Oryctolagus cuniculus: one gene and its partners. The protein of the gene in region 2 interacts with the protein of the main gene of each other region in a pairwise test. Links are inferred from orthologs where the notes say so. Each region holds a gene or a part of one and is shown on either strand. Other genes may lie near its edges.

Region 1 (4,637 bases), on a different chromosome or scaffold from region 2:
CTAACTGCTTCCCCACGGGCAAAAATAAAAAGGAGGGGGGAGGCCGAGAAAGAGCAAGGATGGGCTCCCCCAGGCTGCCGGGCCCTGCAACGCGGAGCTCGACCTACCTTCCCGGAGAGCCCAGCCCCGGAGGGCGTTTCCCCAATGCGTCCGCACCTCGTCCCTCCCGGGGAAGGGGCCGCCGTCCTCGGCTGCAGGCTGGCACCAGAGTCGCGTGCGCGACCCCCATTCCCCCACCCTCCCACCCGGGCCAAAAGACCCCTCCCGTTCAATGCTCCCCTCGCCCCATCACTTCCGCCCAAGGAGCAAACAGCCGGGCGATCGGATCGTCCTTAAGGCTACATTTAACCACGTCTACGCCTGCAGTAGGATCGGCCAAATCCTGGAGAGAGGCGGAGAGGGCGGGGATCTGCGGGTGGGGGAGCGGCCCTGGCGGCGCGAGGCCCTCCCCGCGCAACGCCGCTGCGACGCCTCGGGCCGCCGGCGCTGGGTGCAGACCCCAGTCGAGCCCCGCGCACAAGTAGGGGGCCCTGGGGCCAGCTCCAAGGCCGCCTCCGCGCCGGAGGCCGTCGAGGCGATGGCGCAAGACTTCACTCCCCCCCCCCAACCCCCGGCGACAACAGCCACGGTGACAAAATGGCAGCCCGGCGCCCAGCGGTCGTGCCACAGGCGCGCAGAGCCCTGGCGGCTGCCCCCGCCTCCCCACCAAGAACGCCTCGGCGCCCTTCGGGCCCGGCCCCGGGGCGGCTCTCGCAGTTAAAAAAAAAAAATCATCATCACAAATAAAACACCTGGAGCTCGGAATCGGCTCCGGGAGCCCGAAGGCCCGCCCGGCGCGCCGCCCGGCGCGCCGCCCCGCGCGCACGGCGCCCCGCGCCCGCCCGCGCCCCGCGCCGCATGGAGCCGGAGCCCGCATTCCGAGCCCCGCGCGCCGCGCCGGCCCCGCCGTGGGGGGAGGGGCGGGGCGGGCCGCGCGAGACCGGGGAACATGGCTGCACGTCCTAGTTCGGCGTCGCGGCGTGGCCACCAGCCCCGGATCCGAGTTGGGAGAGGTTCCGAAGGTGGGTGTGTGGGGGGCCCCCGGGGGCGGCGCGGCGGGGAGGGCGCAGGGGCGCTCCCCAGGAGCTGTTTGTCTCCCGAGCCTCCGCAAAAACCCGGTTCTCCTCCCCCACCCCTTTTGTCCCTCGCTCGCCGGCGCTCGCCCCCTCCCCCGCCGCCCGCGCCCCACCCCGCCCGGAGGCAGGGGCCGGCGTGCGGGCCGCCAGGCTGGCGGGCGAGGGGGCGCCGTGCGAGCAGCCTCCCCGCCCGGCGCGCCGCGCGCCCTCCCCCGCGCACACTCGCGAAGTTTAAAGCCGGTTCGACCCGCTTGCCCGTCGCGCTCCCGAGGCGGCCGGCGGTGCGGCTCGGGCCGGCCGAGACCCCGGCCCCTTCGAGCCCCGGGGGCTTTCCGGAAAGTACGCGGGAAGACCGCGGCCGCGCCCCCTCCCCCATCACCACACCCAGCCCCCAAAGGCTCGGCTCCCGGGCCCGGCCGGGGCGACGCGGGCCGGAGGCAGGCTGGCGCGGTGGACGCTCCGCGGCGACTCCCGCCCGGCCGGGGCGCCCCCTCCCTCCGCCCCGCGCGCCGGAGGCATCGCACACGTCCACCGTCCGCCGCTGCAGGCGGGAGGGGGGAGGGGGACGACAAAAAGGATCTTGTTTTCAAAAGTCTCACTCCGGTTCGGGGGAGGAACTAGGGTAAGAGGAAGCAAGGCCTGCCTCCGCCAGGGACTCGCGTGGCACGGGCCGGAGGGGCGACCGGTCCGCGCTCCGTGCCGCCCCGAGTCCCAACTCTGCGGCTCCCCGGCCTCCGAGGGTCCCGCCGGGGTCTCCGAGCCCAGCCGCCAACTCGGCCGGAACACCCAAGTGTGAGAGCGAGCGGGAGCCAGGAATAAAAGCGAGCGTCCGAGCCGCCCGCCTCGCCTTCCCCTCCTTGGGGTGCGCTCCGGCCCCACCCCCGGCTCCCACCCGCGTAAGTGTCCCTTGGCCGGGGTCCCGCCGCCGCCGCCGCCGCCCAGCTGGTGCCGGCCACGGGCAGGCAAACTCCTCGGCCCGGGGCTGCGTGCGCGCCGTGCCCGCACGGTCGTGGGCCCGCGCCGCCCAGCTCGGCGGCAGCTCCGGCAGCTCGCGTCCTGACAAAGTTTCCCGTGCCCGTTCCCGAGTCTGGGGCCGCCAAGGAGCCCGCCACAGTCCAGGGCTGGCAGGGGCCGGGGCGAGGGGGCACCGGGACGCGGCGCCTTTGGGCAACTTGCGGCGGCGGCGGGAGCTTGGGGAGGCGCGGGGGCCCCGGGCGCCTGGGCGCCGTCGAGAATCCCTCCCCCTCCTGCCAATCTACCCTCCCCTCGGAAGGAGAGGGAGAAACATCAGCATCTGGCCCGAAGGTGGTGTGGAAAGAGTGAGGGAGAAAGAGGAGAGGAAGGGAGGGAGGGAGAGAAAGGGCGCGTTCACGAACACTACAAAGTTACAAATATGGCTCCCCCGTCTCTCGCCTCATCACTGCGAAGCCACCGAGACGCACTTTAAACTCGAGCCGCCCCCAACTCCGCGGCGGCCCCCTGCCCCGGGCCGCGGCCCCCCGCGGACCGCAAACTACACCGGACTCGCGGCGCCCAAAACTTATTGTGCGCGAGGGGGCCGGGGCGCGGGGGCGGCGCGGCGGCCCCGAGCCCCCTCCCCCGGGCCGCGGAGCCCGGCGCGCAGCCCCTCGCCGCCGCCCCCCGCGGCCATCCCTGCCCCGGCCGAGGCGCGGGAGCCGCGGGCCCCGAGGCTCCCGCGGCCCGCACGCGTGCGCCCGCCGCCCCGCCGGTGCACACTCGCACGCACCTCGCACACGCGGGCGCACACGCACAGGTAGTCACCCAGCAAGGGCAGCGGCTCGGGGGGCTCTGCGGCCCCCGGCCCCACGCCCCCGAGGAAGAAGTGCCTCCCCCTCCAGCGCGCGCGCGCACACGCACATACACACGCGCGCACACACACACACACACACGCACACACAAAGTAGGAGAATGGACCGCCGGGGATATTTTTGGCAAATGCTCACATCAGAGGGCGTCCTGTTCCGCAGCTCTAAATGAATCCGTTTGTTCATGTCCATCTCTCGCGCTCTCTCTCTGCAGAGGCTCCCGCGCCGGCGGAATTCAATCAATAAACCCCGGACCCACGGCCGCGCGTTTTAGGACTTTGAAGGCTCAACCAGCTCCGCTCGGTTCTCGAGCCCCCAGCACCCGCGGCGCACACTAACCTGATCGCCGTGGAGGCGGGATCTGCGGCCCCGCGGACGAACGGCAGCGGCCTGGGCCAATCGCCGCCGAGGGTCTCCGAGCAACAGCCAATGGCGGCGGCGGCGGGGGGGGAAGGGCCCAATGGGCGGGCTGCGCAGCCGGCCAGGGAGGCTCAGCCATTTGGTTGTGGTGCCGGAGACGGACCCCTTTAGATTTCGGGGCGGCGGAGGAGCGCGGCGGCTGCTCCCTGGCTGAGCGAGGGGGGTGGGCGGAATGGCGGGGGAAGGGAAGGTGACTGTGCCTCCGGGGCCGAGCCGCCTGGCCTCGCCAGCCCGCCGCCGCCTCCGCGTTTGGCCGGGGGCGGGGCCGCAGGTGCGTTACACGAGGGGGAGGGGCGCGGCCGGAGGGGTCGGGTCGGGGTCCCTGCCGCGCCGCGGGCTGCGCCAGGGCTGCCCGGGGCCCGCCCGCGCGGCACACCGCGGGGTTGCGGAAGGAGGCGGGCGGCCCGGCGTGGCTGGGGCGGGGGGAGGCCCCGGGGACGCGGGAGGGGTCGGGGTGCGCTGGGGGAGGGGGCGGCCCTGGGCCGGGGTCCCCAGGGTCGCGCCGGGAGCCCCGGGCTGCGGCTCCCGGCCCGCGCGCCCCTTCCCCTCGGTGCGGCCGCCGCCCGCGGCCTGCACCCCGGCGTGACTCACCGCGGGTCCACGGCGGTCTCCTCAGAGGCAGGCTTCCTTGTGGCTGTCGCGTCAGGTCAGCTCGCCCCGGGGCGCCCGGGCCTGGAGTGGGTGAAGACCGTGCCCTGAGAGCGGCCGCCGCACGTCTGCAGGGGTGGCCGGGGCGAGAGGCAGGCGCGGGTCCCGCCCGGAGTCCTGGGCCGAGGCCCGTGCGGCTGGGAGCCGCGCGCCGTGCGCTGCGGCTTTGCAGGGCGGCATCGTCGGAACGCTTGGCCCAGGCGTCTCCGTGGGCTGCCGCCTGATTATTTTGGGGGGGAAGTTTTGAGGGACCTCTCAGCCCGGTTCCCCAGCGGGTTCCCGACTTGGCGGCGTCCGCGTCGGCCTGCCCCTCTGGGTCGGCGCGTTGGTTTCTCCGCACACCCCGGTGCCCCCAGCACGGACCCCGAGCTGGTTTCCCGCCCCCCTTTTTGGATATTGGATACATTGTTTACTCCCCCCCCCCCCCAGACGTGGGTTCGATGGAGGGAGAAATGTAAAACATGGTTACATAACACCGATACAGTTTCATTCTTAAAGTTTAGGAGGAAATACAAAGTGACAGCGTAAATAAAACACTGAACGCGCACACGGGGCAGGAAGCCGGAGCATCTTAATACTGCAACCTGCTGGATTGCAGGCCTGAAGGGCTGCGGCTCATAAGCGTTTT
Region 2 (4,117 bases):
GACACTCGCGGACAAAGCGTATGCACCAGTCTCCTGCGACACACCTGCTGTAACTGTAATGACAAGGTTAGAACAGAAATCTAAAGTAAGAGGATAACATGTAAATACTGTGTTATTTAGCCTACAGTACAGTAATCTGGATACGAAGGAAGGGCACGGGACGGCCGCGGCGCCTCGTCCGCTCTGCCTCTACTTGCCCACGTTAGACCGGCCCTCGATGCAAATCTTGACCTCCTGAGGAATCAGAGAAGGCTTGGGAAGAGTCAAAGGCGGCTCGTCCTCCGACTTCTCCAGTTTGCGGGTCTCCGGCGCCGACCACCTCCTCTTCCTCGCGGCCGCGGGCCTGCTGGGTTCTACTTTCGTGAAGAAGGGTGCTGCGGGCAAGCCCATCTTCTCTGGAAACTTCAGTTCACCGTTCTCAGACAGCATCTGAGCGCTTCCCTGATTGAGCCCGTTCTCCTGCTCGGCGTACCTGTGTCTGCTGCCCGCCAGGCTGTCGGTCTTTGAGCGCTTCAGCAGGACACTGGCAGCATCTGCGGGCTGGCCCTTTTTAACAGAGCCATTCTTGGCGTTCTTGAGGGTGAGCGAGATGCAGACGTCACCTACTGAGAGTCTGGAACACGGCAGATCAAAGAGCTGGCTGGTTCTCTCCGGGCAGCAGGACGACCAGCCCTGTCCAAACACAAAAAAAGGATACTCGACCAAGACTTCCACGCTGACCTGTGGGAACAGGGAGAGACAGAGAGGCAGACAGGAGGGAAACCAGTGAGAGCTCTGTATGATTTCCTTCCTTCCCTTCCTTCCCTTCCTTCCCTTCCTTCCCTTCCTTCCCTTCCTTCCCTTCCTTCCCTTCCTTCCCTTCCTTCCCTTCCTTCCCTTCCTTCCCTTCCTTCCCTTCCTTCCCTTCCTTCCCTTCCTTCCCTTCCTTCCCTTCCTTCCTTCCTTCCTTCCTTCCTTCCTTCCTTCCTTCCTTCCTTCCTTCCTTCCTTCCTTCCTCCCCCACTCACACACACACACACAGGCTGCATGTTAATAAATTAGACTCCACTAACAAACTTCCCTTCCCTAGCAACACAACACAATGAGGCCCTTTGCTGCCTGTTGTATCTGCGTTTACTACATAGAGAAGCTGGGCAGGAGCCAATGCAGAAAACGGTCCAGTGAAAAGGTCCATTCAGTATCCAAATACTTCACTTAGCATTAGCTCTATCCCTGGTCTCTGTTAAAACAAGTCAGCTGGGGGTCAGCATTGTGGTACAGCAGGGTTCAGCCGCCGGTGGCAATGCTGGGCTCTCATAGGAGCACGAGTGTGTGGGCTGGTGGCTCTGCTTCCAATCCTGCTCCATGCCAGAGGTGGGGCTACAAGGAGACATTTAAGTATCACAAACAAAGGCAAGGAGAGGGTACGGGATGGGTATTTGCAAAATAGCCAAAGTCTGAAAGGCACCCGATGCTTTTAAGAGTTTAATTCTCATGAAATTAAATTTATTCAACATTATAAAAAATTTAGAGAGAGAGCAATGAAGTAGTTTAAAAAGTCAATTTTCAATGGCTGTTTGAGATGTATTAGACTAGGCAATTTTGGAACAAGCTTCCTACTAAGGAAAACTGGAAGCTGTCAACAACAACAACAAAAATACCATAAAAACAACAAAATTAAAAATTCTGAAGAAAATGTTAAAAAGCATTTTTATCAGGGCCAGTGTTGTGGTGTTGATGCCAGCATGCCATGTTGGTGCCAGTATGAGTCCCAGCTGCTCCACTTCTGATCCAACTCCCTGCTAATGGCCTAGAAAAAGCAGTGGAGGGTGGATCAAGGGTTCAGGCCCCTGCCACCCATTTGGGAGACCCAGAAGAAGCTCCTGGCTTCAGCCTGGCTCAGCCCCAGCCATTGCAGCCATCTCAGGAGTGAACCAGCAGATGACGATCTGTCTGTCTCTCACTCTCTCTGTGTAACTTTCAAGCAAATAAATAAATGAATAAATAATTAAAAAAACACTGTTTAAAGGCACTGGACAGAAATAAGACAGTAAAAAACTTAACTGTGTCAAACCAGAAAAGGATATGATAGCCCACAGATTTGAACCTGGTGGTGTTCCAAGCCAACTTTGAATATTTCAAAGTAGAGCAGTTATAAGATTAAGTGGGCTTCTGGGAATCTCAATAGCATTTTGTGTGTGTGTGTAATGCAGTGCAGGGTACACCAAGGGACGGTGATCTTTGGTGAACCCCGCTTTTTTTTTAAGATTTATTTTATTTATTTGAAAGACAGAGTTACAGAGAGAGGTAGAGACAGAGAGAAAGTCTTCCATCTACTGGTTCACTCCCCAGATGCCCACAATGGCCAGAGCTGCGCCAATCTGAAGCCAGGAGCCAGGAGCCAGGAGCTTCTTCTGGGTCTCCAACTTGGGTGCAGGGGCCCAAGCACTTGGGCCATCCTCCACTGCTTTCCCAGGCCACAGCAGAGAGCTGGATTGGAAGTGGAGCAACCGGGACTAGAACTGGCGCCTATATGGGATGCCGGGCGCTTCAGGCCAGGACATTAACCCACTGTGCCACAGCACCGGCCCCGAACCCCGATTTTTAACCTCTGATCCCAAACACTATGCCTTAAAAGTAAGGGTGCATCAGAAGTGGATAGGCCTTCCAAGGTCTGAAGTCAAATCTTAATCATCTCAGTCTCTAACACTGGATTCAGCTCTTGAATTATTTCCACACTGTTGCAAATACTACATTACCATTCAATTTTGAAAAGGGAGGAAGAATGAGGAGACCAAGAGAGAAGCAAAACTAATAAAGACAAAACATCTGATCATAAGAACAGACCCACAGGGGCTTCTGGTAATCACCAGAGACTTAAAAATGACCCTGCTTACAATATTTCAGGAGATGAAACACAAGCTTGAGGAGTGGGGAGAAAACTAGAATCTTAATTTTTTAAATGATATATTTATTTATTTGAAAGGCAGAGAGAGAGAGAGAGAAAGAGAAAGAAAGAGAGAGAGAGGTCTTCTATCCATCTACTGGTTCACACCCCCAGATGGCTGCAATGGCTGGAGCTGGGCCAATCTGAAGCCAGGAGCTTCTTCCAGGTTTCCCACGGGGGTGCAGGGGACCAAGAACTTGGACCATCTTCCATTGCTTTCCCAAGGCCATAGCAGAGAGCTGGATCGGAAGTGGAGCAGCCGGGACTTGAACTGGCATCCATACAGGATGCCGGCACTGCAGCCAGCGGCTTTACCCGTTATGCCTGCCCCAAGTCTAATTTATTTTTAAAATATTTCTGGACACTCTAGAATGAAAGCACTATATTCACTAAGATCAAGATAATTTTCCAGCTGAATAGACACAGTTGAAGAAAGAATTAGTGAACTGGGTTCTGTAATTGGATTCTGAACTAGATTAAGAGCTTTAGAAGAAACTACAAAAAATGAATCAAAGGTACAAAAAAAGGGGGGGGGCTAATTCAGAGGAGAGCCTAAGAGACAGAAGATACATTGAGAAGGTCTAATAGATGCACAATTTGAATCCTAGGAGGAAAGAGAACTAATACTTGAATTTTCCCAGACTAACAAGAGGGAAGTCACAAACTCAAGAAGACTTAGCCCCAAGAAAGAAGAGTGAGGAAATATCCTCACCCAAGCAGGTTATAGTTAAACTGCTCTAAGCCAGAGACAGGAAAGAAAAATCTTAAAAGCCTCCAGATCAAACAGACATTACCTCAAATCAGTAACAATTACATTCACACTCTCCGTCAACAAAAATAATGGGAGCCGGAAGACAATGGAATATCTTTAAAGTGCTGAGGTAACAGAGTTGCCAATCAAGCATTCTATACAGAGCACAAAGCTTCTTCAAGAATGAAGGCAAAATAAAGACGTTTCAGACAAACAGTAATTAAGGGAACTCACCAGCAACAGAACTGCTCTACAGAAAATACTAGAGTAAGCTTTCAGAAGGAAAAAAAAAAAAACCCACAAAGAATCTAGAGAGAGGTTTGTAGATGCAGGGAGAAATGAAGAGCAAGGAAACGGGAGCTATGTGGGTAAATCCAAATAAGCATCGGCTCTATACAATAGTGAAAATGTCCACTGAACTTCATACACTTGCATTATAC
Region 3 (4,680 bases), on a different chromosome or scaffold from region 2:
AGAAAGAATTCTAAATTGTAGTGAAAAACCAAAAATGTGAGATTCAGATCACAAAGCCCAACAGACGTCTCTGCCCTATTTAGTATCTGCCTGCCCATAACGAGATACATACATTGATGGCGGAGCACCTCAGCATCCACTTTAGAAACCCGTGCACTGGCCCACCTGGCCTGCTCTGGTCTGAAATAGAAACAAGCAATCGCATGCGGCAGAATAATGATACACAAAACCAGCACACAGCCATTAGCAACATGAGTCAGTACTTTGCGCAAAGAAAAAAGAAAAGAAAAAACCACACACACTTGAAAGTACAATAAAATAATCCTTTGGGGAAAAAAGGGAACTGAAATTCAAAAGGGGCTGGGGAGGAGCTAACAGGCCAACCAGAGGCCTAGCAAAAAAGTCCCTCGGCCAAGCCCAAAGCAGAGCTGGGCAGAACCGGTTCTGACCTGCCATTCCTGAAATTCCACTCTCCCAAGAATGTCTGGTCCCTCTTCCCTAGGCTTTCCTCTCACCCAAGTGGCCCACTGGGGCCTGGGGGATTCAGGGCACGGTAGGCCATGGCAGGCCCCCACAACAGCGGGGACAGGGGCCACGCGGTCAGCAGTGGGCAACTACAATCCACAGGTATGCAGGCACCGGGGGAGGGGCAGCCCGCTGTCTCCCTCCCTATCCAGCCAGCTAACACAGCAGTCAGTCAGAAGGGAAGCGAAGGGATAACAGGAGGCCCGGAGAGCGGGCCACAGAAGTTAGACAAAAAAACAGACTGTGGGAAAGCCAAAGTGAACCAAACAAGCTCTTCCCCCAGGCTGCAAACTAGCCCGTGTCCAGCGCTGTTTACCAACACGCTGACCAAGAGGGAACCTGGATCTCAGCCCTCACGGTGGCCACGCCGGGCTCAGCCTCCGCCCAACAGGCAGCAGACACCCAGATTCTGGCTGAATTCCCCAACCCTTCTGAGCCATTCTGGTGTTCCCAGGCGGTAGCACATACAACCACGACACCAAAACACTAGCTGGCCACACAATGTGGAGCGGGGAGGTCACAGTTCCACCTGCCCTGGAGGACACGGCCAGGGACCCAACAAAAACAAGGTAGCTGTCCATCCCCGTCCTGCGGTCCTGTGGGCTGAAGCACCTTGTTACAAATCCTACCGGAAGCTCCCAAGAGCCTCCAGACACCCAGGCAGGCCCAAATACTCCCATCTCAGATGCGGGCGCTAAGGCTCAGAGACTCCCGTGAGAGAACCGGCGAGGACCAGACCCCGGCTCGGGTTCCAAAAGACACGCTTGCCTGTCCAAGCAGAGGCTCCCCCACAGGGAAAAGCAGTTACCCCGGAAAGGCTGGGCCTCCTCGGGCCTCTGCGCGTCGTCCTGGGGGATCTCTGGCCCTGCCTTAAACCCAGCTCCAGGACTGGACTTTGAAGGGACCAGGACCCCAGGTCCAAAGACAGGGACCCATGACCACACCCCCAGGTCTACCAAGCGCTCAGCTCCAAACGCTGCTTTGCCTGGCCCGGAAAAAGGGCCCGGTGCTGTTTTGTGCCCTGGACTCCTTCCTCCCTGCCCGAGCCTTAGGCCAGCAGCCGTGGCGTCCACAGCAGGCTTGGCGCCGTGGGTGGCACCCCAGTGGCTAGCATCTGTCCTGGGACCTCAGCAGCTACGCAAACAGTCGTACAAGGAACACCACCCAGCAGAGCAGCGGCTGTGTGCCCAGGCCTTCTGCCACTCTCCCAGCCAGACAAGGTGGAGGGCACGGCGCCCCTACCTTTCTCCATAACACAGCCCCAGCGCCCGGAGCGGGACTGCTCCCGCAGAGCCCGGGGCCTCCCCGGCGTCCCCTGACACCAGGCGCTGTGCACAGACATGGCTGACCGGCTGCAGCTGGAGAGGAAGAACCCCCACCCGTGCTAGGACTTCAGAGGTGGTGACAGAACCCGAACCGGATGATAATGCAGAACGCACCACCAAATGCACAACAAACCTGACAGAGGAGCAAAAAAAAAAAAAAACCCAAAAACTAGAAATAAAAAACAGACCTGGAACCCAAAGGCTTGAAAGGTTTCTCTCAGGCAGCCATTTAGCAAATGACACGCTCCAGAGAGCCTCCCCGCCCCCCTTCTCCCGCTCGCTGCAAGCTGCCGGCCGCCAGGAAAACACCCCCTCTCCTCGCCTCCAGGTGGGCTGCGACCCCCGCCCCCGCCCCCGCCCCCGCCCCGTGATATTCAGAGAGAGGAAGGAGGGAAAAATCCCTTCCCATCTCACGTAGGCCAGCCCCTCCGGAGAGGCCCACCGCTTGCAACAGTGCTGGGCTTTTTTTTTTTTTTTTTAAACTAAGGTGGGGGGGGGGGCAGAAAAAAAAAAAAAAAGCCATCTGGCGGGCCCCGAGCAGCGACATCCTGTTTATTAAACGTTTTTAGCCAGAGAGCATTCAGTGTTTTTTTCAAAATAACCCTGTGGTGCCCGCCTGCGAGCCCAGGCCGCCGTCCGGGGCGGCCCCTGACCCCGCCACCCGGGCTCGCAGGCCGCGGGCCCCCGACCCCCAACTCGGGCGGCGCGCGGCGGCCCCCGGCCCCTCCCCCGGCCTGCGGCGCGACCCTCGGCGTTTTTGGAAAAGTGAGCGAGGTGGGGGTGGGCTGGGGGCGCAGAGCCGGGACGCCGTCCCCGCTCCGAGGGCGACCCCGGGAAGGGCGACCCCGGGGGGCGCCCGGGGCCTCGCGCGACGCCCGGGGACCCGCCCGCCCGCGGCCGCGCGGCGCCCCCCACCACAATGGCGAGCGCCGGGCCCCCGGCCGCCCCCGGGCCGCGGCCCCTCGGCGCTCGCGGACAAAGCGCGGCCCTCAGCCGCCGCCGCCGAGACAAAGCGCGGCCGGGCCGCGGCGCCTCCATCTTAGCGCCGCCGCCGCCGGCCCGCCGCCCCCGGCCCGCGGCCGCCCGCGCCGCCCCGCGCCCCCGGCCCACCTGGTCTGGTTCCGCGGGCGCGACGGGGCAGGGCGATGGCGGTCGGGGCGGCGGTCGGGCGCGGGCGCGGCGGGATGGCGGCGGATTGCGCGGCGGCGGCGGCGGCGGCGCGGCTGTCGCTCGCTCGCTCGCTCCCGGGCGCGCTCGTCGCTCGTCGCTCGCTCTCTCGCTCGCTCTCTCTCGCTCGTCGCTGGCGCCTCGGAGCCCGTGTCTCGCCGCTCGCCTCCGCTCGCGCTCGGCTCCCCGCCCCCCGCTGCCGCCGCCCCCGCCTCCTCGGCCGCCTCCTCCCGCCGCCGCCGCCGCCGCCGCCGCCGCCCGCAGCTCGGCCCGCGCAGCGCCCCCTGCCGCGCCGCCCGCGAGCGGCAGCCTGGGGAGGCGGTGCGGGGCGCTGCGGGGCGGGTGGGGGCAGGGCCCGGGGGGAGGAGGAGGAGGAAGGGGGTTGGGGGGAGGGGCCGGAGCCCGCCCCCGCCGGTGCGGGAGGCGTGCGGTCTGTGCTGCGTGCCCGCCGGTGCGGGAGGCGGAGAAGCGGGGTGGTGACACCGCGGGGGTACCTTCTCTCTTCTCGGATGCGGGGTATGGGAGGCCGGCTCTCCCGGGTGTGGGGGGGCATGCAAAACAAAAGGCCTGCGCTGGGCTCCTCTGCTGCTTCTAGACAGTTCTTAGCAGGTACAAAAGAAAATTTAAAAGTGAAGACCAAAAAAGAGAAAGCTGGGGCCTGGTGCCAGCTCTCCCCCCCGCCTCGGTCTTCGGGGCGTTTGCCCCCGGGAGCTGAGAGTCGGCGGATGCGGGTGAAGGGCATGTGTCCCCGTGGATCCCAGGCCTGGGGTTGGGTGCCACACAGCAGGGCCCTGGAGGAGCGTTCCAACATTACCCCCTCTCTAAACGTCAAATTCGCATTGCTTCCTGGGGCAGAGCTGTGATAACGGACCCCCAGTCCTAATCCATGGTCCTGTGAACGCGTCACCTTAGGTGGCACAGGGGACTTTGCAGATGTGACTAAATTGAGGACTTGGGCTGGGGACTAAATCCCAGGTTAGCTGGGCCCCTGGAATCCCAAGATGGAGGCAGGTTGGTCAGACTCAGAGCAGATGTGTCTGATGAATAAGTTGTCTTTTTTATTTTTTTATTTTTTTTTTTTTTGACAGGTAGAGTTATAGACAAAGAGAGAGACAGAGAGAAAGGTCTTCCTTCCGTTGGCTCACTCCCCCATTGGCCGCCACAGCCAGCGCTGTGCCGATCCGAAGCCAGAAGCCAGGTGCCTCTTCCCAGTCTCCCATGCGGGTGCAGGGCCCAAGCACTTGGGCCGTCCTCCACTGCACTCCCGGGCCACAGCAGAGAGCTGGCCTGGAAGAGGAGCAGCTGGGACTAGAACCTGGCGCCCATATGGGATTCCGGTGCCTCAGACGGAGGATTAACCAAGTGAACCACGGCGCCGGCCCCAGAAGTTGTCATTTTTTAAAAAAAGTATTTTATTTACTTGAAAGACACAGCAACAGAGAGAGAAAGAGAGAGAGAGAGGTCTTCCATCCTCTGGTTCACTCCCTCAAATGGCTACAGCAGCCAGGGCTGGGCCAGGCCGAAGCCAGGAACCAGGGACTCCGTCCGGGTCACCACCGGCTGCCTTCCAGGAGCACCAGCAGGAAGCAGGAGCAGAAGTGGAACCAGGCCTCCCGCGGGCACTCGGACACGGGATGCAGGCGTACCAAGCAGTGGCCCAACC
Region 4 (4,859 bases), on a different chromosome or scaffold from region 2:
CACTATTTTTTTTTATTATTTTTTTTAATTTTTATTTTTTTGACAGGCAGAGTGGACAGTGAGAGAGAGAGAGACAGAGAGAAAGGTCTTCCTTTGCCGTTGGTTCACCCTCCAATGGCCGCCACGGCCGGCGCGCTGCGGCCGGCGCACCGCGCTGATCCGATGGCAGGAGCCAGGAGCCACTGCTTTTCCTGGTCTCCCATGGGGTACAGGGCCCAAGCACTTGGGCCATCCTCCACTTCACTCCCTGGCCACAGCAGAGAGCTGGCCTGGAAGAGGGGCAACCAGGACAGAATCCGGCGCCCCAACCGGGACTAGAACCCGGTGTACCGGTGCCGCTAGGCGGAGGATTAGCCTAGTGAGCCGCGGCGCCGGCCACCCTACACTATTATTCCTTTGCTTTTAAACTTTTCAGATATGGGTCTTTTTTCACTATGATACTTCTTTTAAATCCTGGCCCTAACCCATATACCTTCTTCTGCCTCGCCTAATCGGAGAGAAGAAACATTCTAGGTTCTCAACTTTCCTATTTTTCCTGTGGTTTTTCAAGTTCTTGATACTGGATTGGTGTTAAGTGTGGCCTTCTAGAACTAGACTTGAGAAAGGGATGAAGCAAGTTACTCACCAGGTGACAGAGCCAGTACCCGAGCCAAAGTCCATTAAGGTTTGTGGCTGAAACTCTGGAATTCGAGTTCGGATCTGGAGAAACACACAACACCCCACAGTATGGTAAGCAGATACTTATTTAGTGCCTTAGTAAATATGAATTAGGGGACTATGACAGAGGAAGAAAGATGTGAACACATTCTGAGATTCAACATAAACACTTAACAACAAGCTCCTAAAATAGTGGTTCTGAACCTTTCTTGGGTCACAGAATCCTTTTACAGGACAAGAGAACTTTAAGAAAGAAAGAAAAAAAAAAAGCAAAGCATAAAAGCCTACGCAGCACCCTAAGAATCCCTACCGTACAGACTACATTATGAATCAATAAGGGAACAGCAGGTAAGAGCGTTCAAGTTAGACACAGATTTTTCACCTCATGGAATGCCCTGGAGACTGCCGCGAAGCCACCATCCAGTCTCGCTGCCATATACACCAGGCTCAGTCCTTCATTGTAGCTGCACAAAAATCAGAGTCACACCTGCTGACCATTGCGAGGAAATAAGATCTTGGAAAGGGCTCTTCCACTTTAGCTTTTCACTCCCCAGGGCAGAGTGGTCCTGGGGATCACTATCACTCAGGCACTTTTTCAAACACTGCATTGATCATGCAATTGTGCGGCTCCATTCTCCTTTTCAAGTCCAACTTTTCTTCCTTCTGCATGTTTTCTAGTCCCCCTCACCTCAGTTCTTGCCAATGGTAGGTGGTTTTGCGCAGGGCATGTAGCACTGCTCCACGAAGCTTTTCTTCTGTCTGGGATGAGTCTGCGGTGAGAACAAGGACTGGAAGTGAGGACCTAAGGAGAACAGAGACCAGATCCAATATTTAATTCACTGCCCTCCCGGTTCTCCCCTCTCCCACTGGAAAAGCCTCAAAGCTCAAGAAAGCAGCCAAACCTAGAGAAAAATTTCAGCTAAGGATAATCACCACCAGCACCCCTAGAGTGTATGAGATAGTATTTGCCTCCAACAGCAGTATATTCAACTTAACTGACCCTACCCAACAAATTTTTTTCTATAATAAAGGAAAATACAATTTAGATTTAAAGGATAAGAGAAGGACAATTATTTTGTGGATTTCCTCACTTCCCCAAAACTTAAGACTGTGACATCTTGAATGTTCCTATAGGTGGAAAAGGGACTCTATTGTGTTTGGCAAGTATGTACTAAATGCCCATTCAGAGCCAGATTGTGGGGGGTGTAGGGGACACAAGATAAATAAAAGGTCTGTAAGACGAAGGAGCTCACAACCGTGAATATATTACATGTATTCTCCAATCCCAGAGGTTTTCAGCATTAGGCAGTTAACTTTACAGGGACTTTCACCTTAATAAGAATGGGCCAGCGCTGCGGCTCAATAGGCTAATCCTCCACCTAGCGGTGCCGGCACACCGGGTTCTAGTCCCGGTTGCCCCTCTTCCAGGCCAGCTCTCTGCTGTGGCCAAGGAGTGCAGTGGAGGATGGCCCAAGTCCTTGGGCCCTGCACCCCATGGGAGACCAGGAGAAGCACCTGGCTCCTGCCTTCGGATCAGCGCCGTGCGCCGGCCACAGTGGCCGTTGGAGGGTGAACCAACGGCAAAAGGAAGACCTTTCTCTCTCTCTTTCTCACTATCCACTCTGCCTGTCAAAAAAAAAAAAAAAAAAAAGTAGATGGTCCCAACTGGGATCCAGATTTCAATTGCCATACTCTGTCCCTTCCTCACGTCCCAAGGGTAGTCTCTGGAACAAATCTATCTTCCAGTAAGGTGGAAAGTCAAATAAGAAACTCCAATATCTATTTGAGAGACTGTAAAATTATCTCTTGCACTTCATTCCCCAGTTTCAATCCGGCCTAATCTTTCATCAGTCTTCAATCCTACCTGCGTTTTCCAGGAACTTTTTCTCCAGACTCACAGCCCGTCTTTGTAGCTCCTCAGGTTCTACGGGCAAGTGTCGGCTCCAGAGATAATTGGTCAGTGCTTGCACATGCTTCTCCACATTGGGCACTGCGTTCTCTGGAGGCCAGAGATGAAAAGCAGAATTACCTGTGTGCAAAGGCCCATTTCTTTTTCTCCTCGGATACCCCTTTCCCGCCGTTACTTACGGAGTAGCAGTAGCTGGGCGGCGTCAGCCAGTGCCTGTGGCAGTTGCACGCACGGCAGACGTAGGATGCCAGGGTGCCGACGGTGAGGCTTCTTCCCCAGAAAATCGGACTTGTTATCTACCTGACTCACGCCGCGAACAAGGGCCGCCAGCGCCTGGAAGCCGAGAAAGGAAAGCTGGGTGCCAGCCACAAAGGAAGACTGAGGGCTCTCAATTAAAGGAAGCGGCTGCCAAACAGCTCCTTCTTGGAGCGCAGCTGTCTCTAGGGTCCCAGAGCTTCTTCGGGAGCAGAGAAAGTAGGTACTCACCCGGGACTGGGGGGCCATTCGAAGCCCGCGGCGCCATCTGCCCAATATCGAGGGCAACCTCTTTCCCGACGCAGCCGCCATGCCTTCGCAGGCGAACCGGAAACAGAAACGAAAGTGACCCTCAGCTCCCAACGACGCGCGGAACTTCCTCCGGGATTTCGCTCGAGACAGCATCAACCAATGAGAAGAAGGAGTGCTCATTAGTAGCCAATAAGCAGTCGATATGTAAATCTACTCGCGGCGGAAGCCGTTCGTGGGCGGGACTTGGAAGTCAGGTCCGACCTGATCGGCGGAAAGGGGGTGCTGCAGAGCCCGAAATTGAGGGGGCGGGGCATGAGGGACGGAGGCGGGCTTTCGGCTGTCAAAATCTGGTTGCTTTTCTCCCTGTAGAACTGAATCTGGAGTTGTTTTCCTCTGTGAACCGGAGAATGCAGTAATGAAAAGGTGAGGAAACCAGATTTAAACTACTAAAGGTAGTAAATTAATAATTTAGTTAACAGTTTAATTAGTTGTCAGTTTCTCGTCAGTTAGCAATAAGCTAACGCTAACGCTTGCTGAGAACGCCCACATGCTAGGTAATGTGCTAGGAACTTCTCCTTGGGGTCTGTTGGGAAGTCAGCATCCCATATCAGAGTTCCTGGGTTCCGCATTCCAGTTTCTTGCTGGTGCACACCCTGCTAGGCAGCAGGTGATGGCCCAAGTCCTCGGGTCCCTGTCACGTAGGGGACCCGGGTTAAATGACCAGTCCCTGACTTAGGCTTGGCTTCACCCCTGCTGTTGCTGGGATTTGAGGAGTGAATCAACAGGAGATTCTCTCTCTGTGTTTAAAAATAAATTTTCAAAATTAAGGAAGAAAATCCTTCTATGTAATCTAGTTCCTACCAAGGCATATCCTGCTGTCAGCCCCATTTTGCACTTGAGGAAAGTGAGACTTCTAATGGTTAAATATGTGCAAGATCACAATTTTTTTTAAAGATTTATTTTATTTATTTGAAAGAGTTACAGAGAGAGGTAGAGGCTGAGAGGGAGGTCTTCCATCCGCTGGTTCATTCCCCAGACGACTGCAACGGTCAGAGCTGCCCCGATCTGAAGCCAGGATCCAGGAGCTTCTTCTGAGTCTCCCACAGGGGTTCGTTCAGGAGCCCAAGGACTTGGGCCATCTTGTACGGCTTTCCCAGGGCATAGCAGAGAGCTGGATGGGAAGGGGAGCAACCAGTACTAGAACTGGGGCCCATATGGGATGCCGGTGCTTCAGGCCAGGGCTTTAACCCGCTGTGCCATAGTGCCGGCCCCTGAGATCACAAATCTTGTTAGGTGACAGCTAGTTTAACACTGATTTCATTTTTACACAATATGCTATACCCCATATTGTTGGTGGTTGGGGCACAAGTTAGTTAACTTTATGCTAAGTGTTTGGAGGTGTTAGCATGTAACACTAAAAAGCTTACTGTGCCGTAAACTCTTGATATCTGTAGCAAAGGTCCATCCTTACTCTGCTGGGATAGAAGTCTAGTGACAGGATGGGTAGAAGTTCTTCCTTTGCTGTTATGGCAAGAGTCCAAATATGATAATTATGGTGTACCATGGGGAACTGTGTCAGCTGAAGACTTAAATGTCTGATTTGTTAGGTTAACATGATTTGATTCCAATAAAGGAGATCTTTCCTTTATAATCGAAATGCTTTAGAAGTAGGCTTCAGGTGTTTCATTATTCTCCTCCTGTTCAGGCTTACCTTTCTTTTGGTGTGCCTTTTTCCTCTTTGAGTTTGGTTCTGCTGCAACACTTGGTTTCATCTTTTGTGGTACTT
Region 5 (4,768 bases), on a different chromosome or scaffold from region 2:
ATGGGCAGGCGCAGTGGCGGGTGGCTGGGACACAACCGAGCCTCCGCCGGAAGCCGGGCTGGGGCCAGTTAGGCGTCCAGAGGACTCACCCTCCACCCCCCGCACGCACGGGAAGCAGGACCTGCCCCACACTAGCTAACCCGTCACCTCCCACACTGTCACACAGGGGACACCCAGAGCCGCCGCTGGTCACAGACCCCTACACAAGGCACTCACTGTTCTTCTGCTTCTTCCGGTCCCGGGGCGGTTCCTTGAGGGCTTTGATGATGAGGGCCGAGGCCGAAGGCACCACCTCGATCTGCAGGACAGAGTCTTGTGTGAAAGAGCCCGACCCCACTGGACCCCACGCCGGTGAGCGTGGCGACGCGGCCACCCACGTGGGCTCCCAGAGCATGCCCAGCCCAGCCCAGCCTGGGGGCCGACAACACAGGCGGAAATACCTGGGCCTGCCGGTTCTGGATGGTCAGTTTCACTGTGATCCGCAGCCCCTTCCAGTCGCCGGTGGCCTTGGCAATGTCATCGCCAACCTTTTTGGGAGACTGTAGAGATATGGGCGGGTAATCAGCCTGTGCCCGAGCTGGGCCGCAGCCCCCAAACCTGCGCAGTACCGCCACCTCCCTCCGCCAGCGCCAGGGCAGCTGCACCTGCGCCCCATACCCCAGGTAGCACCAGGCTCCGGTGCGGCCACGCCTCGAAGGGCCCCTGCACCGAGGCGGCACGCGCGCAGCCCGAACCCGTTTGCGGAGGCTGGGCCCCAGCTGGCCACGGCAAGATGGCCCCTAGTGGCAGGAGCGACGCTCGGGTGCCCCACGGCATGAACGCGGTACAGAGTGGAGCCGGCCACGGCCCCCGCGAGCCCGCCACGCGCTGCCCACTGCGGGTCCGCCGCTCGGCTCCGGCCGCGCACCAAGTACTCACCAGGCCCAGGGGGCCGATCTTGGGGGCCAGGGCAGACGTGGCGCCGACCTCGCCGCCGGTGCACCGCAGGTATACTGGGGGGAGGGGGAGGAAAGCCGGGGCCTCAGTGGAGGGGCCGCGCCTCTCCGGGCTGCCCACCCGGCCGTCGCCTCTCCCCGACACAGCACCAGGAGCTCCCGGGGATCAAGGCCGGACACACGCTCCTCGCTCGGGCGCCGCAGCGGAGGCCGCCCGGAACCCACACGAGGGGCGCAGAGACCCCCGAAGACAAGCCTTACCCTAAGGCGTGCGGGCTGCAAAGCCGCCAGGGTCGTCCGCTCCTCCCTCCCCATCTACACGTGGGAAAGCCGAGGCCCGGGACGCGCAGCTTCGCGCACGGGAAAGGAGCGCGGCGGGGCGCGGGCAGCCTGCACCCCGCAGCCCCGCTCGCAGCGAGAGCACGCACCGACTTTGATCTCGTTGGGATCGAACTTGGGTGGCATGGTGGAGGCGCCTGGTGTCGGATGAACCCGGATTCGGGACGACCGAAGAGAGTTGCACCTTGGCCTCCTCCGAGCCGAATACCGAAAGGCCGGAAGTCCCGCCGACCGCACCGGATATAAGCAGGAAAATGCGGCTCTCGCGAGAGCTCCTGGCTCCGCCTAAAAAATCCTGGCTCCGCCTGGCGACGCCCTTGCCGCCATGTTTCTTGTGGGCAGGCTCCTGCGGCTGACTGCTGGAGAGCCGGGGGCATCGCGGTGAGCCGGGGTAAAGGATTCGGAAGCGGGGTTCGGGGCAGTTCGCCAACGGGGAGGCAGAGACGACAGGCTGCTCCCGAGATCCCGGGCCTCGCTGTTTGCTGTGCTCTCGTATCGTGAGGGTCACCCCGGGGTCCCTGTCACCGAAATCCAGAGACCTGCCCCTCCCCTGGGCGGTCCGCGCCCCCGTCCCGGGACCCGGGACTCCTCCTAACCCCTTCGTGGTGTGTGGGTCCGCTCAGCAGACCTAAGCCAGGTGCAACTCTTGCTCGTGCGAGCCCGGCGTCCCGGACTTGTCACTCCTGCTCTGCAGGACTTTTGGAGCTTTTGGGTTTCGGTCCCAGCTCCTGCCCCGGAGGAGCCGCAGCCACTGCTAAGCCCGGGGGTGACCCGCCTGTCCACCCACCCGGCCCGGTGACCGCAGCCGAGGGGAGGATGGGTGTGGCCCTCGCCCCCGGGCTGGACGCCAGCAGATGAGGGAGCGGCGTCGGGGCTGAGCTGGGAGGAGATGGGGAGCGGGGCGGGCAGGCTGCGGCAGACCCTGCCCGGTGCCGGCAGACTGGTGGGTTTGACCGGAGGGCCTGGGCGGGCCACCCCTGCGGCTGGCAGCCCGCACCCCTGTGGGCGGAGACCTCTGGCCTCCGCCGCTTCCCCAGCCGCGTCTGCTCCCCTAGCCCTCGGCCCTGGCTCCGTGTGTGCGGGACGGGCGGCGCTTTGTGGCCGTGGAGCGTTCGCTGTGTGCAGGTAGCGGCCGTGTGGGGGCCTCAGGTGTGTGAACTCACTGGGAAGCCGGTGTCGGTGACATTATCGCTCAGGCTCCGCAGGTGAGGAAGCCGTGAGCCACGGTGACACAGCAGGTGGCTGGCCGAGCCTGGATCCCTACCAGCCTGGTGCTTGCTTCCTGGCGGGTGGCTGCCCCCGGCACGGATATTTGCAGGTACTGGGCAGGGCCCCTGCGGGCAGTGGGCACCAACTCCTGGTCCAGGACCCCAGCGCCAAGCAGGTGGCAAACCCCTGAGCATCAGGTCGTGGAAGCCCAGGGTTCCAGGCTGCAGACCCACATCCCAGAACCTGCTGAGCGTGTTTCTCCACCATCAGCAGGGCCCTGGTGAGGGTCCCATGGAGTGATGACTGTGAGGGCGGCCAGGCGCCTAAGGGTCGCCCCTGAATGTTGATTCAACTCCGAGATCCCTCTGGCTGTGACGTAGTTGAGCCCCCCAGAGTCATGGCTGGCTCCAGTCTGGTTCTGCCGTTCTAGCTTGGAGGAGCCGGAAGTGACCCCAGTCTGTTAGGGTCCTCCGGGAGAATCCTGAGGAAGTGTGGAGGCCCGGCCGGGGTCCCACAGTGGGTCCCTGGCGAACGTGGGCCCACACCCGGATCACATGGCTTGCCGCGTGCCCCTTCCGCCCCAGCCGGCCACTGTCTGAGTCCTGGGCACCTGCAGCGTGGGCTCAGGGAACTGGTGGATGAGACAGGCGGTACCGTAGGCTGGGGCCACCTGTCCACCTGTCCTAGACGCTGGGGACAAACTCCGCAGGCCCCAGCTTCTCTCCTGTGCCCCAGCGCCCTGAAGATCCGCTCCGGGGAAAGGGGACGATGCCGCTCTTCTTCCGGAAGCGGAAACCCAGCGAGGAGGCTCGCAAGCGCCTGGAGTACCAGATGTGCCTGGTGAGGGACCCGGGTGCCCCGGCCCCAGCCCGGCTCAGCTGCGCGCTCCCTCCCCTCTGCCTCCCCAGCCCAGCCCTGGCCGCCGGGCGCACCTCCCGGTGGGATCGCCGGACTTCCTGGAGAACACGCGAGAATCCGCTCAGGGCGCCCCTTGCCGCTCCTTGCTTTTGGGCGGCCTGTTCACTCCCCAAGGATTTTTTCATCTCGGTACCCTTAGGCGAAGGAAGCTGGGGCGGATGACATCCTGGACATCTCGAAATGCGAGCTCTCGGAGGTAAAGTGAGGGCGCGTCTGGGCCGTGCATGGGAACGGCCCTGCTCTCTCGGACCCCGGGTCTCCGGCAAGGGTCTCAGGGGAGGGAGGGGCTCCCGGAAGGAGACGCAGCCTTAGACCTCCGGGTCTGAAAGAGCTCACGCCATCTTCTGTTTTCAGCTGGGTCTCCAAGGCCCGCCGTTTCCCTCGGGGCTGGCAGAGCAGGGATGCACAGCTGCCCCTGGGGCCTGAGGAGGCGGGGGCGGGGACAGGGTCCCTCTGCTAGCTGAGTGCAGCAGGCCTGGCCACACCCCCGCCAGCCCGGCCAGCGCACGCCCCGGCCCGCCCCGCCCGGGAAGCCCCCCGCGGGAGGGAGGCCACCGCGGAGGGAGGCGCTTACCCTTCCTTATCTCACTTAGATTCCGTTCGGGGCCTTTGCAACCTGCAAAGTTCTCCAGAAGAAGGTGAGCAGGGATTCCTTCTTTTAAAGATTTATTTACGTATTTGAAAGGCGGAGTTACAGAGAAGCAGAGAGAGAGAGAGAGAGAGAGAGAGAGAGAGAGAGAGAGAGAGAGAGAGGTCTTCCATCCACTGGTTCACTCCCCAATTGGCCGCAATGGCGGGAGCTGGGCTGATCTGAAGCCAGGAGCCAGGAGCTTCTTCCGGGTCTCCCACGTGGGTGCAGGGTCCCAAGGACTTGGGCCATCTTCTATTGCTTTCCCAGGGCACAGCAGAGAGCTGGATCGGAAGTGGAGCAGCCGGGACTAGAACCGGCGCCCACACATAAGGGATGCAGACACCACAGGCGGGGCGGGGCGGGGGGCGGGGCGGGGGTGCTTAGCCCGCGGGCCACAGCGCAGGAGCAGGGACTTCTTTCCAGAGAGTGGTGTACTGCTCCTCCGCTCCTTGGAAACCACGTGGGGCTTATGGGAGCTGCCCTGCCGCACAGACACCTCCCTTCCCCCCAGGTTTGGGAGGTCACGGGAGAGCCGGCCCTGGGTCACATCCTGGCTCCGCCCCTCCCTGGCTTCAGGACCTTGAAGCCTCCTAGCCCAGCTGCTGCTTCTGTGGCCTGAGCGCCCAGCGTGCTCTGTCCCAGGTGCTGGGAGGATTAAGTGAGCAGCAGGGAGGCGGACGGGTGGAGTGGGACGCCTGCCGCAGAGTGAGCGCCTGTCAGCCCTGGCGGGGCTGCC
Region 6 (4,770 bases), on a different chromosome or scaffold from region 2:
GAGGCCCAGAGCTGGAGCAGCTGGGGAGCAGGCAGGTAGGGGCTGGGTGCACCTCGGCCAGCCAGCCGGGGCCAGTTGCTGCAGTCCAGCCTCGGGGCTTCTAACCCACACCTGTCAGGTGATACGGAGGCCAATGAGAGCAGTGGGCCAATGTCCTCTGTCCAAGGACCCTGCAGACCCACAAGAGCAGACCAGCCCCCTCCCCTAGTGCCATTAGGCTGACAGAGCCTCCTCTGTGCTGCTCCTAGGCTGGTACCCCCCTGGGCATGGCGTCTGGCCTGGTGAGTAGGTAGTAGCACCCTTGTTAACCCCCTGCATCAGGGCCATGGGCAGCTGTGTCAGCCAGCCAGCGGCTGTTGTCTCTTTCCCAGGTGTGACTGCAGCCAGTTTGGCAGGTGATCCCCAGATACCACCACACCCCAGGACTGCAGGGCAGCTTGGCGCCTCCTGAATCAGACTTTCCAGTCACAGAGGGGGCAGGGACTGCACCCTCCTTTCTCCTGTGCCAAGGCCCTCCCCCAAACCATCTCCTCTGGGCTGCTGTGAGACCTGCAGGGAGGGAGACTGGCAGGTGGTCAGCCGGTAGGCTTGTGAAACTCACACCCAGAGCAGCCGCTGGCTGCAACTGGGGAGCTCAGCTTAAGGCAGAGGACTTACCCAAGGTCACAGAGCCAATGAGTAGCCAAGCCTAGTTAGAACCAAGCTTCCCAGAGCTGTAGGCAGGGGGCCTCCAGGGTGGGTCCCTTAGCCCAGTGTCAGCAAGAACAGCATCTCCAGCTGCTGTAATTGTTGCCATAGGCAAAGCCTCGTGGGGTTGAGAAGAAAACTTCCAGTGCTGAGAAGCCCCAAGGCAACGATCAGTACTGCTGCCACCCCCCAGCCCGCGTGATGCCCCCATCTGCACTCCTTCCTCCCCACCCCCATCCCAACAGCCTCGGGTTCCTCCTGTGTGATGCCCCCATCTGCACTCCTTCCTCCCCACCCCCACCCCGACAGCCTCGGGTTCCTGCCGGGAGACAGGCTTTCTCCCCAGTGGAGGCAGCTGTTTCCTTGGCTTCTGGAAGCAGACAGGGTGCTGGAGCTGTCCCCACTGCGCAGATGACGACAGTGAAGGACGCTGACACTGGCCCAAGCCCTGAACGCAGGTGCCTGACCGCCTAGTCCAGCTCTGAAATCTCTGCAGAGTGACAGATCGCCATTCTGTGGTCCCCCTGAGCCTTGTCCAGGAGGAGGTGGGGACACCACCGCGATCACACGGAGCCGGCGCCTATGGACCTGGCTATGAGGGCCTAATCACATCTGTGCCCTTGGTGTCCCCAACAGGGCCTGGCGCCTGGCAAGCACTGATAAAAGCAGTTTGGATCATTGTGAAAGGCACAAGGACCTCTCCTCCGAGGGCACCCGTGTCCCTGCAGAAGGGGCTCCCACGCTGGGCTCCACCTTCCTGGTCCCCCATGCCACAGTCTGTCCTGGGGAGAAAAAGCCTTGGCCGGTTTGCTCATCAGCCAGATGACAGCGGGCAGCCGAGGAATGCCTCTGCAAGCAGCACTGGGCCGCGGTGAGTCAGGCCCGGGGAATCTGCCCCTGCCTCCACCCCCTCCGGTTGGGTTCCTTGTTCCTGGGGAGGGCGGATGAGGAAACCCCCCTTTACACAGCCCTCCCCCCTACTGGAGGCTAAGGTAGCGGAGGCAGGGGCACGGTCTGCTTCACCTGGCTTGCTTGGCTGCCTCCCCAGAAGGTAGATGCCCTGGCTGGCAGCACACCCAGGGGTTGTCGAGGGATTTCCTGGCTCCTTCCATCAAGGACTCCCCTAACACCTAGAAGGTGAGCTTGAAAGCTGGGGAGGGGGAGGAGGGCTTGGGCAAACCCTGAGTCTGCAGCAGCCTAGTCCCAGGAAGACCCGAGTCGCAGGGTTTGATTTTCACCTTATTAGGCCATTGTAGGTAGCTCACTACCGCCCCGGAGGCCTCGGCTGTAAAATGGGTTCAATAATGATCTAACTCTGGCACGGCAGAGCGTGACCGTGCCTGGGCTGCGCAGAGGAAAGAGAGATTTGGGGTCATGGAGAGTCAGGTAGGGGAAGAGCTGGAGTCTGAAGATAGGAAAGAGCTGGCAGAATTCCCTTCTCTGGTTCCCCAGGAGAAACGCGGGGGTGCCGCTCTGAGACCTGGGTTTTGCCGCGCTTCCGTTGGGGAGAGAGACAAATACGGACGTCGCCCTCAGGGCTGGGCTGCCCTGGACTCACAACCCCAGCCAGGAGACAGGGAGCCCCCGTGGGGATTTCTGGACTTTCCCACCTAGGCAGGGGTTCTATGGGAACACACCGAGATTCTGATCCTGGAATCTTGAGCCCGTGAAGGGGGTGGGAGGCGAGGCTGGGGACTGAAAGCTGTTTCGCCCACGCGTGCACACCTACCCACCCAGGGCTGCCTGGCATCTTCTGTCCTCGCAGGCAGGGCTCTTCTTCCCGCCAAGTCCCTCCCCGTTCTCGTCCTCTCCCCCAGCCAGGGCCCGCGGGGTTCCATTGGAGGGGAGGGGGGACAGGGAAAGCCAAATGAGGAGGAGGAGGTGCAGGAGGAAGAGGTCTGGTCTACCATCAACACGTTCTGTGCAAGGTTTACAGCCCCAGCCCCGTTCCTCAGTTTCCCGAGCTGCCCAGAGAACTGACCAGACTCCGGGTGCCTCCCAGCCCAAGAGCCCCCAGACCCCCCTACCCGCGCCCGCCAGGCGCCCTCTCACCTGCACGATCTGCCGGGGCTGCACGCTCAGCGTGGGGAAGTTACCGCGCCCGTGAATGGGAATCGGCTCGCTCAGGAGTGCGTCCAGCCGCTTCACCTGTGGCCAACTCAGCCTGCTCAGGTGCCGGCCGAGGGAGGCCGAGGCCGAAGAGGTCTCTGGGTCGGGGCCGCCGCCAGCCGGGGCGGCCGTAGCCACCGCTGAGGCCGTAGCCGTCCCCACCTGCGCAGCCGCCCCGTCTCGGCTCTCAGCTCCGCTCTCTGACAGCATCGTTCGCCCAGCCCCGGAGCCCCGACGGCAGAAACCGGGGGGTGATTAAGGGGAGGCGGGCGGGGGGAGCGGCTGTGCTGGGACCAAGGCGGGGGGCGGAGATGCAGGGACGGGGCGGCAGCGACGGCGAGGCAGACCCGGGGCACACCTCCGACAGCGACGACCCACCGACCCTAAAGCCCGCGGTCCCCTGCCCAGCTGACTCTTATAGGCCGCGGGCCACATGCCTATTGGTCCGCGCTGCTGTCACGTAGAGGGAGCTGCCCCGCCTCTTGATGCCCTTGCCATTGGCCAGCAGAACTTTGCACGTGAGTCAGTGTTTCCCAAGGCGATTCCGATTGGCTGGAAGGCACGCCCATGCCCCGCCCCCTTCACACGCTGAATTCCCTCCTTTGGTCTTTAAAGAATTTTTGTGCTTTGTCGTTGGCCTGGGTGGGCCTGAACTTAAAGGGAAAGCGCCCTCCAGAGGCAGGCGGGAGGAAAGGGAGTTGTGGAGTTTGTGGAAGGGTCGGATCGCTGAGAAATTCCAGAAGGAACTGAGAAAATCACTCGGGCCGGTCCTGGTCGTCCGCTCTTTTCCAGAAGCCCGGAGAGACGGCGCCGCTTGCTGAATTCTGCGAGGCGCTTTCTAACGCCCTCTCTTGCGTGGCCCGTTCACACAGCAGCCTGGCTGGTGTCGCTGTGCAGGTGCAGGCGGGGTAGATGCGCTCCGGGAGCCGGTACAGCTTCCCTAGCGTCCCCTCAAGTTCTGGACCAAGGCTGTAGCACCGGCAGACCCTTTCAGCTGCACCTAAGCCGACGCGGGGCTTTTTCGGGGCTGGAGGATGGGCACTCCGTGAGCCTGGCTTCCTCTCCCACCTTACAGAGGCGGGAGAGTGCAGCCTCATTATGGCTTTAAATTCATCTCTTTCCCTCCTGATTTTAAATAAACGTGTGTGGCAAACATTCAGAAACTAAAGCTATCCGATTCATCACTGTAATAATTTTTTCTTAAATATATTCTCAATAACGTATCAAATTGAATCTGATCCTCCCAACGTTCTCCTGTGAGGCAGCCTGGGCAGCAGTCATAGGGCCACTTTACAAACGGGGAAACCAAGATCTGGAAGTGGTAAACCTGAGGTCACCAGCCTGACCCTGACAGACATGGGAGTGGACCTGGGGAGGCCGACTCTTGGGCTAAGCAGCCCCTGGCTCTGGCTTTCCGGGAGGGGACCTACTGCTTGCTCCCCTGCTTGGCTCAGTGGTCTTGGACCAGTCCCTTCCAGGCCTCAGTGCAGTCGGCTGCTAAGAAGTTTATAGAGGGGCACTGTGGCCTAGTGGGTTAAGACTCCATCTGTGGCACCGGCACCCCATATGGACACCAGTTCAAGTCCTGGCTGCTCCTCTTCCGATCCAGCTCTCTGCTATGGCCTGGGAAAGCAGTAGAAGATGGCCCAAGTGCTTGGGCCCCTGCACCTGCATGGGGGACCTGGAAGAAGCTCTGGCCCCTGGCTTCACATCAGCTCAGCTCCAGCTGGGGAGTGACCCAGCGGATGGAAGACCTTTCTCTCTGTCTCTCCCTCTCTCTATCTGAAACTCTACCTCTTAAATAAATAAGTAAACAAACAAACAAATAAATAAAACAGACATAGAAATCTTCGTTGGACCCAGCACATCTCCCTGAGGTTAACGAGGAGAAAGGTCCAGGTGGTCTGCTACCCCCACTTCCGTGCCTCAGCAGAAGAGGGAAAACAGACGGGAACACTTGCTGAATTCCTGCTA

What was found. The genes of interacting proteins can lie anywhere in the genome.
Region 1: the proteins of ATXN1 (region 2) and ANP32A interact in binary tests that used the Homo sapiens proteins (3 or more experiments, as listed by UniProt). The link is inferred for Oryctolagus cuniculus from reciprocal best matches to the Homo sapiens genes ATXN1 and ANP32A.
Region 3: the proteins of ATXN1 (region 2) and PRRC2B interact in binary tests that used the Homo sapiens proteins (3 or more experiments, as listed by UniProt). The link is inferred for Oryctolagus cuniculus from reciprocal best matches to the Homo sapiens genes ATXN1 and PRRC2B.
Region 4: the proteins of ATXN1 (region 2) and METTL17 interact in binary tests that used the Homo sapiens proteins (3 or more experiments, as listed by UniProt). The link is inferred for Oryctolagus cuniculus from reciprocal best matches to the Homo sapiens genes ATXN1 and METTL17.
Region 5: the proteins of ATXN1 (region 2) and LRSAM1 interact in binary tests that used the Homo sapiens proteins (3 or more experiments, as listed by UniProt). The link is inferred for Oryctolagus cuniculus from reciprocal best matches to the Homo sapiens genes ATXN1 and LRSAM1.
Region 6: the proteins of ATXN1 (region 2) and TENT5B interact in binary tests that used the Homo sapiens proteins (3 or more experiments, as listed by UniProt). The link is inferred for Oryctolagus cuniculus from reciprocal best matches to the Homo sapiens genes ATXN1 and TENT5B.

The regions. Positions count from the first base shown.
Region 1 is NC_091443.1:91,522,309-91,526,945, forward strand, and holds the start of ANP32A (acidic leucine-rich nuclear phosphoprotein 32 family member A), read right to left. Parts: upstream 3,211-4,637; 5' UTR 3,134-3,210; coding exon 3,080-3,133; intron 1,062-3,079; exon of another isoform or gene 922-1,061; intron 1-921. UniProt on the Homo sapiens protein: Multifunctional protein that is involved in the regulation of many processes including tumor suppression, apoptosis, cell cycle progression or transcription. Promotes apoptosis by favouring the activation of caspase-9/CASP9 and allowing apoptosome formation.
Region 2 is NC_091436.1:143,605,942-143,610,058, forward strand, and holds part of ATXN1 (ataxin-1), read right to left. Parts: intron 721-4,117; coding exon 190-720; 3' UTR 1-189. UniProt on the Homo sapiens protein: Chromatin-binding factor that repress Notch signaling in the absence of Notch intracellular domain by acting as a CBF1 corepressor. Binds to the HEY promoter and might assist, along with NCOR2, RBPJ-mediated repression. Binds RNA in vitro.
Region 3 is NC_091432.1:233,878,475-233,883,154, reverse strand, and holds the start of PRRC2B (protein PRRC2B), read right to left. Parts: upstream 3,211-4,680; 5' UTR 2,961-3,210; intron 2,089-2,960; exon of another isoform or gene 2,039-2,088; intron 1-2,038.
Region 4 is NC_091443.1:53,912,755-53,917,613, forward strand, and holds the start of METTL17 (ribosome assembly protein METTL17, mitochondrial), read right to left. Parts: upstream 3,211-4,859; 5' UTR 3,134-3,210; coding exon 3,053-3,133; intron 2,900-3,052; coding exon 2,746-2,899; intron 2,657-2,745; coding exon 2,522-2,656; intron 1,428-2,521; coding exon 1,346-1,427; intron 1,122-1,345; coding exon 1,040-1,121; intron 700-1,039; coding exon 626-699; intron 1-625. UniProt on the Homo sapiens protein: Mitochondrial ribosome (mitoribosome) assembly factor. Binds at the interface of the head and body domains of the mitochondrial small ribosomal subunit (mt-SSU), occluding the mRNA channel and preventing compaction of the head domain towards the body.
Region 5 is NC_091432.1:230,975,849-230,980,616, forward strand, and holds the start of LRSAM1 (E3 ubiquitin-protein ligase LRSAM1), read left to right. Parts: upstream 1-1,558; 5' UTR 1,559-1,655; exon of another isoform or gene 1,656-1,665; intron 1,666-1,688; exon of another isoform or gene 1,689-2,399; intron 2,400-2,470; exon of another isoform or gene 2,471-2,479; 5' UTR 2,480-2,592; intron 2,593-3,192; 5' UTR 3,193-3,251; coding exon 3,252-3,323; intron 3,324-3,540; coding exon 3,541-3,597; intron 3,598-3,994; coding exon 3,995-4,039; intron 4,040-4,768. Other genes in the region: RPL12 (large ribosomal subunit protein uL11), read right to left, coding at 217-298, 441-539, 919-992, 1,364-1,400.
Region 6 is NC_091438.1:144,514,335-144,519,104, reverse strand, and holds the start of TENT5B (terminal nucleotidyltransferase 5B), read right to left. Parts: upstream 3,211-4,770; 5' UTR 3,007-3,210; coding exon 2,740-3,006; intron 1-2,739. UniProt on the Homo sapiens protein: Catalyzes the transfer of one adenosine molecule from an ATP to an mRNA poly(A) tail bearing a 3'-OH terminal group in an ATP hydrolysis-dependent manner.